Solanum lycopersicum: one gene and its partner. The protein of the gene in region 2 interacts with the protein of the main gene of each other region in a pairwise test. Links are inferred from orthologs where the notes say so. Each region holds a gene or a part of one and is shown on either strand. Other genes may lie near its edges.

What was found.
Region 1: the proteins of transcription factor E2FA (region 2) and transcription factor-like protein DPA interact in binary tests that used the Arabidopsis thaliana proteins (3 or more experiments, as listed by UniProt). The link is inferred for Solanum lycopersicum from reciprocal best matches to the Arabidopsis thaliana genes E2F3 and DPA.

What each region holds. Positions count from the first base shown.
Region 1 is NC_090808.1:4,495,675-4,501,687, reverse strand, and holds the start of transcription factor-like protein DPA, read right to left. Parts: upstream 3,372-6,013; 5' UTR 3,093-3,371; coding exon 3,088-3,092; intron 2,309-3,087; coding exon 2,162-2,308; intron 2,051-2,161; coding exon 1,983-2,050; intron 1,868-1,982; coding exon 1,824-1,867; intron 1,043-1,823; coding exon 977-1,042; intron 895-976; coding exon 754-894; intron 366-753; coding exon 297-365; intron 170-296; coding exon 71-169; intron 1-70. Other genes in the region: beta-glucuronosyltransferase GlcAT14C, read right to left, coding at 4,565-5,079. UniProt on the Arabidopsis thaliana protein: Involved in the regulation of the G1/S transition. Increases the DNA binding and the transactivation activities of E2F proteins after heterodimerization. The complex DPA/E2FA promotes cell division and acts as a regulator of the endocycle.
Region 2 is NC_090800.1:2,211,861-2,217,917, reverse strand, and holds the start of transcription factor E2FA, read right to left. Parts: upstream 4,142-6,057; 5' UTR 3,930-4,141; coding exon 3,687-3,929; intron 1,861-3,686; coding exon 1,671-1,860; intron 1,499-1,670; coding exon 1,448-1,498; intron 1,346-1,447; coding exon 1,260-1,345; intron 1,188-1,259; coding exon 1,099-1,187; intron 986-1,098; coding exon 931-985; intron 744-930; coding exon 691-743; intron 613-690; coding exon 562-612; intron 473-561; coding exon 424-472; intron 323-423; coding exon 257-322; intron 181-256; coding exon 104-180; intron 1-103. UniProt on the Arabidopsis thaliana protein: Transcription activator that binds DNA cooperatively with DP proteins through the E2 recognition site, 5'-TTTC[CG]CGC-3' found in the promoter region of a number of genes whose products are involved in cell cycle regulation or in DNA replication.

The DNA.
Region 1 (6,013 bases), on a different chromosome or scaffold from region 2:
ATAATCGAAGTGTCTACCATGTAAAATAACTAGATGCAGTAATTTCAGAGGAAAAATTAAAGCCTTATACCTGAACAAGTATAAATGGCAAAGAGAATCCTTGTGAAGGGCCATTTGTAGATTTACACGACTGTTCATTCCGCAGCTTAAGATTTTGCAGACTTGCAAGCTTTCCCAATATGTGCAGAAAGTTAAAGATCATTGCCACAATTCAGTTAGGTGAATGTAGTGTTTTTTCGATGTTTATTTGAAGAGCTTATGACATTTGGTACGAAAGGAGTAGACAATGAACATACTTGCTCTTCCAAGTCTTTCAGATATGCAGCTTTCTTCCCAATCTTCGCCAATAACTCTGCATGCCCCTTCTGGAAAAATACAGATTTTTTATATAATATCATCGAAAGACACGGTGAGTCTATACAGAAATGTGGGAATCAGTTGTAATGCAGGCCCGCTTCTCAATGAGGCCAAGGAATTAAGCATTCTTATACAACTAGGATCAGTTATATATACACACACACACACACACACACACACACATATATATATATATACTTTTAGACTGCCATTATGCTCATCAATGCAGTTTAGGCATCTCACAATTCCAGTTTCACCCTTAGCAACTAAAGCAACCGCTTTCAAACAGTCCAAGATTTCCATCAGCGTACGATCATAAAGCTTAAGCCTTATGCATACATACAAAAGATAGTGAGAGATGATGATAAATTTTTAAATCTCAAGCTACCTGCTAACCTTAGTTTCCTCCATGTCCCTTGCATCTGAATTAGGAAGGCCTTTCCAGCGGATCTCCTTTCTATCTCTTTCGATAACGTCAAGGGCCATAAGGACATTGAGCGAATCATATACTCGTCTGCGTATATTCTTCTCATCTGACTGGAAAGGTTATAAAGCATTCTATTCAAATCATAGTTGACGGAGAAAAGAAATAATTAACGTCTTGAGATCTCTACTTAACCTCATTAAGGGGAACAGAGGAACTGTTTTCCATTGTCATTAACTCGGCTATGATTTCGTCTGCAACCTATATATCAAGAATGATAATCTATATGTCATATGCATATACTAGGAAAATCCAGAAAGACGAACAAGAATCAAGACAGAGGAGAAAAGGTAAGTTTTCACATTAGCAAGGATGAATTGTGTAAGCGCCTAAAATATATATGGTGGTACAATGTTTTTCTTCTAGCTTAAGATTCAACACCACCATATCTCTACCAAAAAAGCAATTTTCATATAGGCTTTTTGTTAAGCATGACGAATAATGTTCAATATTGCAACATTTCATTGAGCGAGCAATAAATTGAAGTTCAAAAATCCAAGCAGTCATTTACTCATAAATAGCACAACCATTTATGCGTTGGAGAGATCGTTTCTTATATGCAGTAGAATAGAGATACTAGGAGGTAATTCTTAGTAAAATAAATGAAGATAGAAATGTTGCGAAGACTGAGAAGGTTTGATACTTATGATGTATAGGATAGATATCTACTAGGTCTACCTTCGCGAGACTCTTTTTCGAGTGTATAGGCTAGGTCTACCTTCGCGAGACTCTTTTTCGAGTGTATAGGCTAGGTCTACCTTCGCGAGACTCTTTTTCAAGTGTATAGACTAGGTCTACCTTCGCAAGACTCTTTTTCAAGTGTATAGACTAGGTCTACCTTCGCAAGACTCTTTTTCAAGTGTATAGACTAGGTCTACCTTCGCAAGACTCTTTTTCAAGTGTATAGACTAGGTCTACCTTCGCAAGACTCTTTTTCAAGTGTATAGGTCATTCAGTCTAGCAGAACAAGGGTCAAACTTACCTCACTGTATGTGATTCGTCCCTTATCTTCCACCTTCTTACAAACTGCAAATTGACAAGTTAAAAATGAAAAAATTGAAATCGTTATCCAGAACAAAAGGAGTTACCCACAAAAGGCCATATGTATAGGACATTAAGCATTCCTTAGATTATCACCGACCCATTATACTGTATTGTCTTAGACCTCCTCCGACAATTTTTGAGCCTTTCTTCAGCTTTGCCGTGTCACTTTACAAAATTTCATAAACATATATAGGAATTAGAAACCATTTATAGGTCTTCATAACCATACAGAAAAATAAAAGAGAAAGAAAAGTACTTATCAGTTAATTAAATCACCTAGTCTGTCTATGCTGATTAACATGCAATGTTTTGTCATCATAATCTGCTGTGGCTCGAAATGAACTCTTGCCCTCAGAACGTCTCCGGTTGATCCCTTGAATAGTGCTTGCAGAGGTTTCGCCATCCATCATACAAGCAGATTTCCTTGTGACAAAAAAAGGAGAAAAAACATGACATCGTGGAGTTAGTACACCAATTTAACCTCTCGTACTCCTTCATGAGGATACAAAGGATAAAAATATAATTAACCCCAACTCATTATGAATTGATGCAGTACAGTAATTTAACTGATGCTTTCGTAGGTCGACCAGAACAACTCAGTTAGTACAATTCTTTGCAATTGCAAGCAAGAAGATACGAAGCAAAAGCCTCAACCAACGGTTGGACAATAGTAAAGATTCATAGCAAACTCAAATAGCTACTTGTACTAAAAGAACAAATAAGCATAACTATTAACAAACAATAAAAATATATTACGACGTGGGAGGAACATGAATATACTACTTATAATATCATCCGCAATTGCTTGAATCTTGAGACATTCTTCAAACCAATCATAAAACTCCCCCCCATCTAAGAACCATATACGAGACTTTCAACTCGTAAACGTTTAACCTTACTATGGTCAAAAACACACCTGAACTATCTTTTTTTTTCCACGAGTTTCACACCGCAACTATCCGTTTTTCCCTTTTTCTACCAAAACTATACACATCTACGTATTAAAACACACCTAGTTGACTAGACAGTGACAGGTAAAAAAAAAACTAGTAATTGGCCTAAATAGTTTTAAGGTATAGTTCAAATAGAAAAAAAAAAAGGAAACAACTGATAGTTAGATAAGAAACTCGCAAAAAAATGTGTTTTTTACCATTTAATCAAACAGTAGGATTGAAAAAAAAACTTATGAAACAGTTACTAACCTCATAAAATTCTACATTAATACCCACAAATCCAAAATGCAACCTCAATTTGTGTAACAGAATCAGACATTATTACAGAAATTACAAATTAAACAACAATCAATTGAAATTTAGTAAAGTTTCCCCTTTTTTGGTTAACACAATTTACAAAACAAATCAATTGAGATATAAAAGTACCAAATTTCACAATTGAATTTCAATCTCAAACAACAAAAATAAACCCTAAAATAATTTATCCTAAAAAAATAAAAAAAAAGGGAAAAAAAGTGAAGAACCTGATAGTTGAGTGTCCTTGAAGACAAGAATCAGTAACAACACTGAAATGGTCGAAAAAAAAAGACAATTATTATTAGTACCAGAAAAGAAAAAAAAACAGACAATTTGACCAAACATGACCTTAAAAGTCAAAGGCTTGTGTTCCCGCTATTTCATTCTCTATTGTCTTTTACGGTTTTGACCCTCGGTTGATCGGTTCGGTACTGAGATGGTTTGAATATGTGAAGAGGAGATTCACATATACTCTACGGAATTATGTATACACGTTAGCAGGTATTTCGAGTGTTGTCTAATTTTTCTTATCATATACTAATTACTACAAGGGAAAAAAGGATAAATATGTCCCTGAATTATCGTAAATAGTATGCATATACATACCCTCTGTTATTATTTTTGGGACATTGGTGCCCCTGCCGTCCAAAAAATATAGCTTATATTTCCTTCACTCTAACGGAAGACTAAATAGGGACACATGGCGCAATATTATCTATCGATTTGATATTGATAAATATCGGGTCGATGGATAAAATTGTGATACGTGTATGTTTATTAGTATAAAGGGAATATATGCTTTAGTTTTTTAACAACGGGGGCGGCAATGTCTCAAAAGTATGATAGAGGGTATATGCATACTATTTATGATAGTTCGGGATATATTTGTTCTTTTTCCATACTATAATTAATTCGTTTTGATTATCATATTAATTGTTATTGCTATTGTATTTTCTTCATTATTTTCTGTGTGACTTATTTATTATTATATGTTTTTTTCTAGATATGCTAAACATACGCCGAAGGTCGATCACAAACAGTTCATTAGGAATGCCATTTTGCATACAATCACCCTCCTCAAACCCTATTTATGAGATTCCATCGAATAAGTTCTTATAGTAACATAAATTTTAAGATTTTTAACTTGTGAGTTGTGGCAAAGGAGTAATTGTGAGTCAATTGATACGAACATTAGGTGGACCTCTTGAACAGTCTATCGAAAACAATCTCTCAACTTTTACAAGTTTACGTATACACCACCCTCCGCAAACCAGTCATGGATCACATTAGGTATATATGTTGTTATAACCAAAGAACAAACAAAAGGATTCTCATCATGTCAAATAATAATTATACAAAGCAAAGAGGCAAAAAGAGTATGAAAAAGAGAAGAAATATTTTCAAGAGCAATAAAAGAGTTTTGTATAATTTATTTACATTGTCTTGACCTGAAATTTTCAGTATCAAGGAGCTTAAGTACAAGTTTCTCTAGGCTTCTTGAGCCTGTTGATGGTTTGACAACATCTACACTGCCATAAACTATACAAGGATCTTTACCTAAAGAAGAAGTTCCGACACACCAAGCCCCTGGCGAAAACACGCCATGAGACCTTCTTAAGATTTCCTTGTCAATTTTATCGAGAACTGGATCATCAGTAGCAAAAGTACGAGCAAAGGGGACACCGCTCTGGATCATGTCCTCAAAGTGCTTCAGTGTTAAATTGATAGGATACTGCTTTGGGGGATTGTCCCATTTGATGTAATGTAAGTCGTGGTTCACTGTCGTGTTCTGGTAGTCTTTGTGATTGCAGACAATGGTGTGGAAGTAGCCCTCAAGAGAATACAAGAAATTTGTGTAGTACATCAGAAGAGTGCGCGGTAGATTGTCCCAACCCCAAATACAGAACTCAAGGAATGGCCTCGAGAGCATCACCCATTCAGATCCTGGAAGTGAAAACAAAACAGCAAATGACTATTAGGGAAACAATTTTTTACGAAAAAAAAGGAGCTAACAGTTTTAGCATTGAGCTATATGACTATTTGAGTAGTAGTAGTATCTTTTAGCACCCCAAAAGCAATTCAAGAGGTGAGGACCGCCCAAGACAATATAAAAAGACCGATTTCTCCTAATCCCATCGATGTGGGACTCAAAACCTCCTCACGCCTAGTACTAGACATCTTGGGGTCTGGCTCGAGTACCATGCTATGGACCTTAGACCTAACTCAAGCCCAAGCCTGAAAACTAGTTCAAAAGGTGAGGATTGCTCAAGACCCTGACAAGAGACCAATTTCTCCTCATCCCACCGATATGGGACTCAACAAAAATTCTACCTTAGAATACGCTCCTTAATATATATATATGTTTATTGTTGGAAAGCATAAAAAAGTGTCAATTAATCATCAAAAGAATGGCCGTACCTCATCTATCTATGTTACACAAGTTTTTGTTGCCACACTATTTTGCTTAGAATCTGAAAGGCATCAAGAATATCATTTTGATACAAAATCATCAAGAGGAAAGCAGATTCCTGATCCAGCAAACTCACTCCTAGTTTGATTATATACAGCATTTATGAGAAAACTGTTGGAAAATCATCTTGAAAGCTATCTACTTTCCGAGTCCAAATTTGTGTATCCTGACATCTACATGTGTTTTGCATTAGAAGGTAACAAGTAATGGGATCACAACAGAAGATGAAAAATGGCTAATTAAAAGGGCTACTCAGATAAGATGATGAAACTCTAGTCCCACGACCACTTACTCAGGCTGCTACACCCTGACTCCCCCCTCCTCACTGCCGTAAAAAGGTGAAGAAGTGTGTCATCCAAGTTACGTCAAAGTAATCATTGTCCAACATCTGTTAATTTAACACTAGAT
Region 2 (6,057 bases):
AAATACCAGATAGGAGAGTCAGATGAGCTTTTCCGGAAGTTAGAAATACGAAATAAGGAAATAGCGACCAGGACAGATTAATGGCTCTACAAGCCGATGATACCTGACAAGGTAGACATCAATGGGACCCATTGTGCTTCTGAGTATAATTCTATATCTCCTCTGTGGATAGTCCACGGCCTGTGGATGAGACATGTTATTTCACCTCTGAGATATGTAAGATGTTATCTCATATTCGCTTCCGTTCTCTACTTACCTCATCGGGATCTGGGACTTCCAGGGTGGTGCCATGAGGAGCTTTAACTGCTATTAGAGTCTCATTCTGCCGTGATTAAAGAGTATAAACTAATTCATAGGTTCTTTGAGTAGATCACTCCAAAAATACAATGGCTATAAAAAAAACACATAAATGGCAAAGTTAACCTGAAAACAAGGTAGGCTCTTTATATCTTCTTCAGTTACAAAAAGCCACCTAATTCAGAGTTGAAATTGTCGTCAACAAACAGCGAAACATCAAATCTAGGTTACAACTATGTAGTTAGGACAGTTACAAGAAGTTACCTTTGGTTGTTTTCGTCTTCACTCATATCCCTCAACTTTTCTTGCATTTCTCTGCAATAATCCAAACATCAGCACAATGACATAGTTCAAGAAAGAAGCACAGACATTTGACTCTGACAAACCACAGACCTAATCCGCTCATCCAGTCTTCGCTCCTCCACTGAAAGTCTGTCAGTTTCGGCCTGCAAAATTGCAAGCTACTTACTAGAAAGTTCAATTTTTGGATAATACATTACTTCAAAGTGAAGTTCTCATACAACTAGAGTTCTATTCAAGCGCTGAAAACTAGTCTAACAGTGGATATCTATCATAACATAGATGAAGACACTATCTTAGCAATCAAATAGTTTAGGAAGCATACACGAATACCTTTAAAATGGAAGCATCATTATCCACTTCTCCAGGTCTAGAAGATTCAACACCCCTAAGGAGTGATTATGGAATTTTCACATCAGTATAGCTTCGGATGATTAACAGATCACTGCAAGAAGTGTCTAAGTAGAAATATGTGTTTATATCCAAGCAAAGCTAGCTTACTTCCATTGTATTCTGTTCTTGAGCTTCTTTTCAATAAGACCAATTCCTTCAAGCACATTTGTTATATCGTAGATCCTTCTTTTCTGCACCTGTATGATCCAAAAATTATAATCAGAGTTTAACAATGCAATGAGAAAACTTCTTGCTAAATGATATATTACCTCCAAAGTGTCAGCAGCTTGGTTAAGATCAAGCATACCATCTTCAGCATGCTTGATCAAGTTGATAAATTTCTTGGTTAGTAGACCTGAACAGAAGATTCAATTTTGGGTTTATTCCACCATAAACTCACGTTTTCCATAAAAACTTTTACAACAAATCAATCCCTGGGCAAAAAATCATGGAATACCCAATGAACTGTCGTAGCGGCAGCTTGCAGGTGTAAGGGGAGAAGGAGAACCTGCGAAATCGCAATCCACAAGTTAATTAAGACCATATAAACCAGTGCAACCAAGACAGTACAGACCGTTTTCTATAAATAACGTTTAGATAGATGCGGAGGGAAATAAAATTTGAACATTTACTCGTGTCCAGTTACAATCAAGACATAAAAAATTAGACACAAGCCTCACCAGCATTATAGACAGGAGTTTGAGGTCCAGATTTATTATTTTTTGTGGCTCTTGACCGTCCATGTGCTCTTCCTCCTTTTCCAGACACAGGCGTTCCAAGAGGACTATTGGCCACATCTGCATACCCGGAATTAGCAGTCCAGTCACTGGACTCAACCTCTTTAATATAGCCTGTCTTCCGCTTTAGTGCCTACAGGCGCATTAAGTGTGCAAAGTAGAAATAAGTGATCAACAAGTAAAACATAGCAAACTGAGGAACAATTACGACTAAACTCTGAATTTTCCCTGGGATAAATTAGAGTATATAGAATTAAAAAATTCTTGACTTGGGCACACAATTATCAAACTATAAACAACAAGGGTGGACAGCAGTGTAAGAAGGCTCCCTCTGTGCAGGCTCCAGGGAAGGTGACTGTAGACAGATAACTTCCTTATGGAGAGGCTGGTTCCAAGACATAAGCACTAAACCTTTCACACCTAAAATAATATACCTATAGAAGGAAAGCCATAACTAACAGAGCTTCAGTTTAATTTAGTGCTAACTAATTAGAGAACACAAACAAGTCCCAATTGTTACTTAAACAAAGGAATTAATTCTGAAGATGAACAAACAATAAAAATCCTCCCACTCAATCTTCTCTAGCTATCAATAGGACTCAAAACATGAATGACACCAATAATATCCACATACAAAAAGAAAATGGCATTCAGGTTTCATGAGGTTTATAAGATCAACAAAGCTACATTACATGTTCAACTATGTAACCAAATTGGTTGTCACGTGTGCAAACATGAATGACAGAACAGCATAAATCACAACCAACTCACTTTGACTCATTTACTCCTTTTTACCAAATTTAGCCAGCAGTATCTGGATGTTTCAGCTAACAAGAGGCAAATGACCTCCGGGGAAATTAGAAATGAAAAACCAAAGGCAGCTTAACATCTTAACCCAACAAAAGCCAATTAGCTACATACCAAATACCATCCATTAGCTTAACAAACCCAATACCAGGTTCCAACCACAATAATTAGCCTCAAAAGTTATTCACACATTGAAATACAAATATTGCAGATCAACAAAATCGCAAGTACCACAAAATGCACAAAACAGCAACAACTTAACTCGAAATTACACCTTTTTAACGACATATAATCAAACCCCACAATATATCTTTCTTCAAAATATCTTATTCATGTCTCTACTAATCAATCCCAGTTATAATCTGAAGTTCCATTTCAAAAGGCAAGACACACTACCAAAGTCCAACATCAATCCCAATTAAAAGCATCCATAAACGACAATCTTAGTTCAAACAAGAATGCTAGTAACCACAAAATGCACAAAAACAGCAACAATTGAACTCAAAATTACACCTTTTTAGCTACGTTTAATCAAACCCCACAAGATATTCCTTTGAAATCTCTAATTCACGTCTCCACTACTCTATCCCACCTCTAATTTAAAGTTCCCATATTTCAAAATGCAAAACTCACTAATAAAATCAAACAGCAATCCTCAACAACTACACTATTAGCTCAAACAAGAATGCAAGTAAACACAAAATGCACAGAAACAGCAACAATTGAACTCAAAATTACATCTTTTTAGCTACATTTAATCAAACCTAACAAAATATCCTCCTTCGAAATCTCTAATTTACGTCTCCACTCCTTAATCTCACCTCTAATCTAAAGTTCCCATATTTCAAAACGTAAACCCACTATTAGAATCAAACAGCAATCCCCAACAACTACACTATAAGCTCAAACAAGAATGCTATTTACTGCAAAATGCACAAAAACAGCAACAATTCAACTCAAAATTACATCTTTTTAGCTACATTTAATCAAACCCCACAAGATATATTTCTTCAAAACATCTAATTTCAAGTCTCAACTACTTAATCTAAAGTTCCCATATTTCAAAACACAAAAACCCACTACACAAAATCAAACAGCAATCCCCATAAAAAAACAACACTAATAACTCAAACAAGAATCCAACAAACTCACAGGTGACTTAACCACAATAGCTTCAGGCTGCAAACTAGCAGACCCAATTCTAGAATCAACACCAGGTATAGAAAATCGGTGGTAATCCTCAGGTGTAACAAAAGGTGGCCTCATAGAAGCAAAGGGTAAGTATCTTTTGATCGGATGAGAGATCTGACTCCTCCCTCCACCGTTTACAACGGCGGATGATGACTGAGCAGTGGGTGGCGCCGCCCCACCAGTGGATGCACTAGAACCTGTCATTTTTTCCCTAGTTTTGTAATCAAAAGATATACCCTTTGAACTCAAGATTTTTGGATTGTTGAAGAGAAGGGTTCTGAGGGGATGGGGTGGGGGTGGGGTAGGGGTAAAGGGGGTAGGGGGTAAGGGGGGGGGGTAGGGGGTAAGGGTTTCTCTGTGAAAGGCAAAAAGGAGAAAACGAGGGAAGGGAGGGAATTTTGGTTTTTGTATATATGTGGAGGGAAGAGAAAATGTTAATGTTTTGTTTTTATTCATTTTGGTCCATATGAATACTTATTATTTGCAATTTGACCCTTCTATTGGTAAAAAATTTACTATTTTATTTTTATTTTTTTTGGGCGATCAAATGACGGAAGTCAAAAATTAGGGTAGAAAGTTACGTCGAAGAAACATGATTCTAGTAGGTAGGGGTGGCGTTCGCCATTCGTCGTTTGGCTCTTTGGTTTGCAGTTTTGAAAAAGTGTGGAGTGAATACCAAACCAAACTTAGTTCGATTCGGTTCGTTTTTTTCAATTAAAAATGATTTTTTCGATGAGAATGAAGAATAAATGAGGGTAAAATAAAAAAAAAGGTGTGAGATATATAAGAAAATTTAAAACTATGTTAAGTGATTGATGTTTCTCGTCAATATGGAACAGTTATTGTACTTAAATATTGTGTCACGCCGCTGCTCGAGGAAGACAAGGACGAAGATGAGTTTTTTACGTAATGTATATCGATAAAAATATGTTTGAATTTCTCTATTTTTCAATATTTATGTTCACCCTAATAATAGGAGCAACTTTTTTTGTTTGCAGTTTTGAAAAAGTGTGCGCTGAATACCGAACCAAACTAGTTCAATTCAGTTTGTTTTTTTTCAATTTGTTTTTAAAAATGAATTTTTCGATGAGAATGAAGAATATAAAACGAGGGTAAAATTAAAAAAGTGTGAGATATTTAAGAATCTTTAAAACTATGCTAAATGATGACGTGTCTCGTCAATATGGAACAGTTATTGTACTTAATTATTGCGTCACTCTGCTGCGCGAGGAGGACAAGGATGAAAATGAGTTTCTTACGTAACGTACATTGATAAAACTACGTTTAAATTCCTCTATTTTTCAATATTTATGCCCATCCTAATAGTAGGAGCAACTTTTCTACTCCCATCTTATACTAATCACTACTATTAATCCTATATTTTCTTATAATCTTATTATTTTTGTTTTAGATACTTCTCTTTTTTGCATTTTTATTATCGTAGATTCTACAAAAAATATTTTTCTTTAGTTGAGTGTTTATCCGAAACCTATCTACCTTACATGAAATGAGAGTAAAGTTTGCTTATAATTTATCCTCCATAATCCATATGTCACATTTTTTAGGTCACATTGAATATATTGTTGTTGTTTCAAAAATAGAAGCTATAATTCATTTTCGATGCTACGAAATTTTAAGATTTATTACAATTTTAAAGGAGGATAAAATCGTTTCATTTCGAATGACATGAAGGGTTGTGTTGGTGCTCGACACACACGAAACAATATTTTTAAAAGAGTCCAAGCAACATAGCCAGAGTAGTATACACAGGCAGAAACCACAACATAGACAGTACAGCCTGTGAGATGATGAAGAGATAACCCAAAGAGTAGATCACTACATCCTGTTAAGTTTTATTTCATACGTCTAACGTAACGTAGAAAAAAGACAACTCGATGCACAAAGAATCCTGCATTCACGAAGGATCCGGGGAAGGGCTGGTATGATGCAGAATCAAGTTAAAATTTCACAGTAAGTAAGTCAGGAGATCACAACGCTACTCTCAAGTACTCACCAATCACCAATCAAAGACGATAACGTTATTGCTACAGAGAAACCAGAGAGGATTATAGTGCCAGTACTGAGAAAATCGTTAACTAAACAACAACCACAACATAAACGGTGGAATCTCACAAGAGAGGTCTGAGGAAGGTAGAATGTACGCAGACCTTACCATTACCTCGTGGAGGTAGAGAGGTTGTTTCCAAAGGACCCTCGAAAAATCTTTAACTAAAACAAACACTAATCACATTATGAATATCAGTAGACAAGTCCTAGGCCAAATATAGCATATGTCAAGGCACACTGAACATCAGGTTAATGTACTCTCCAA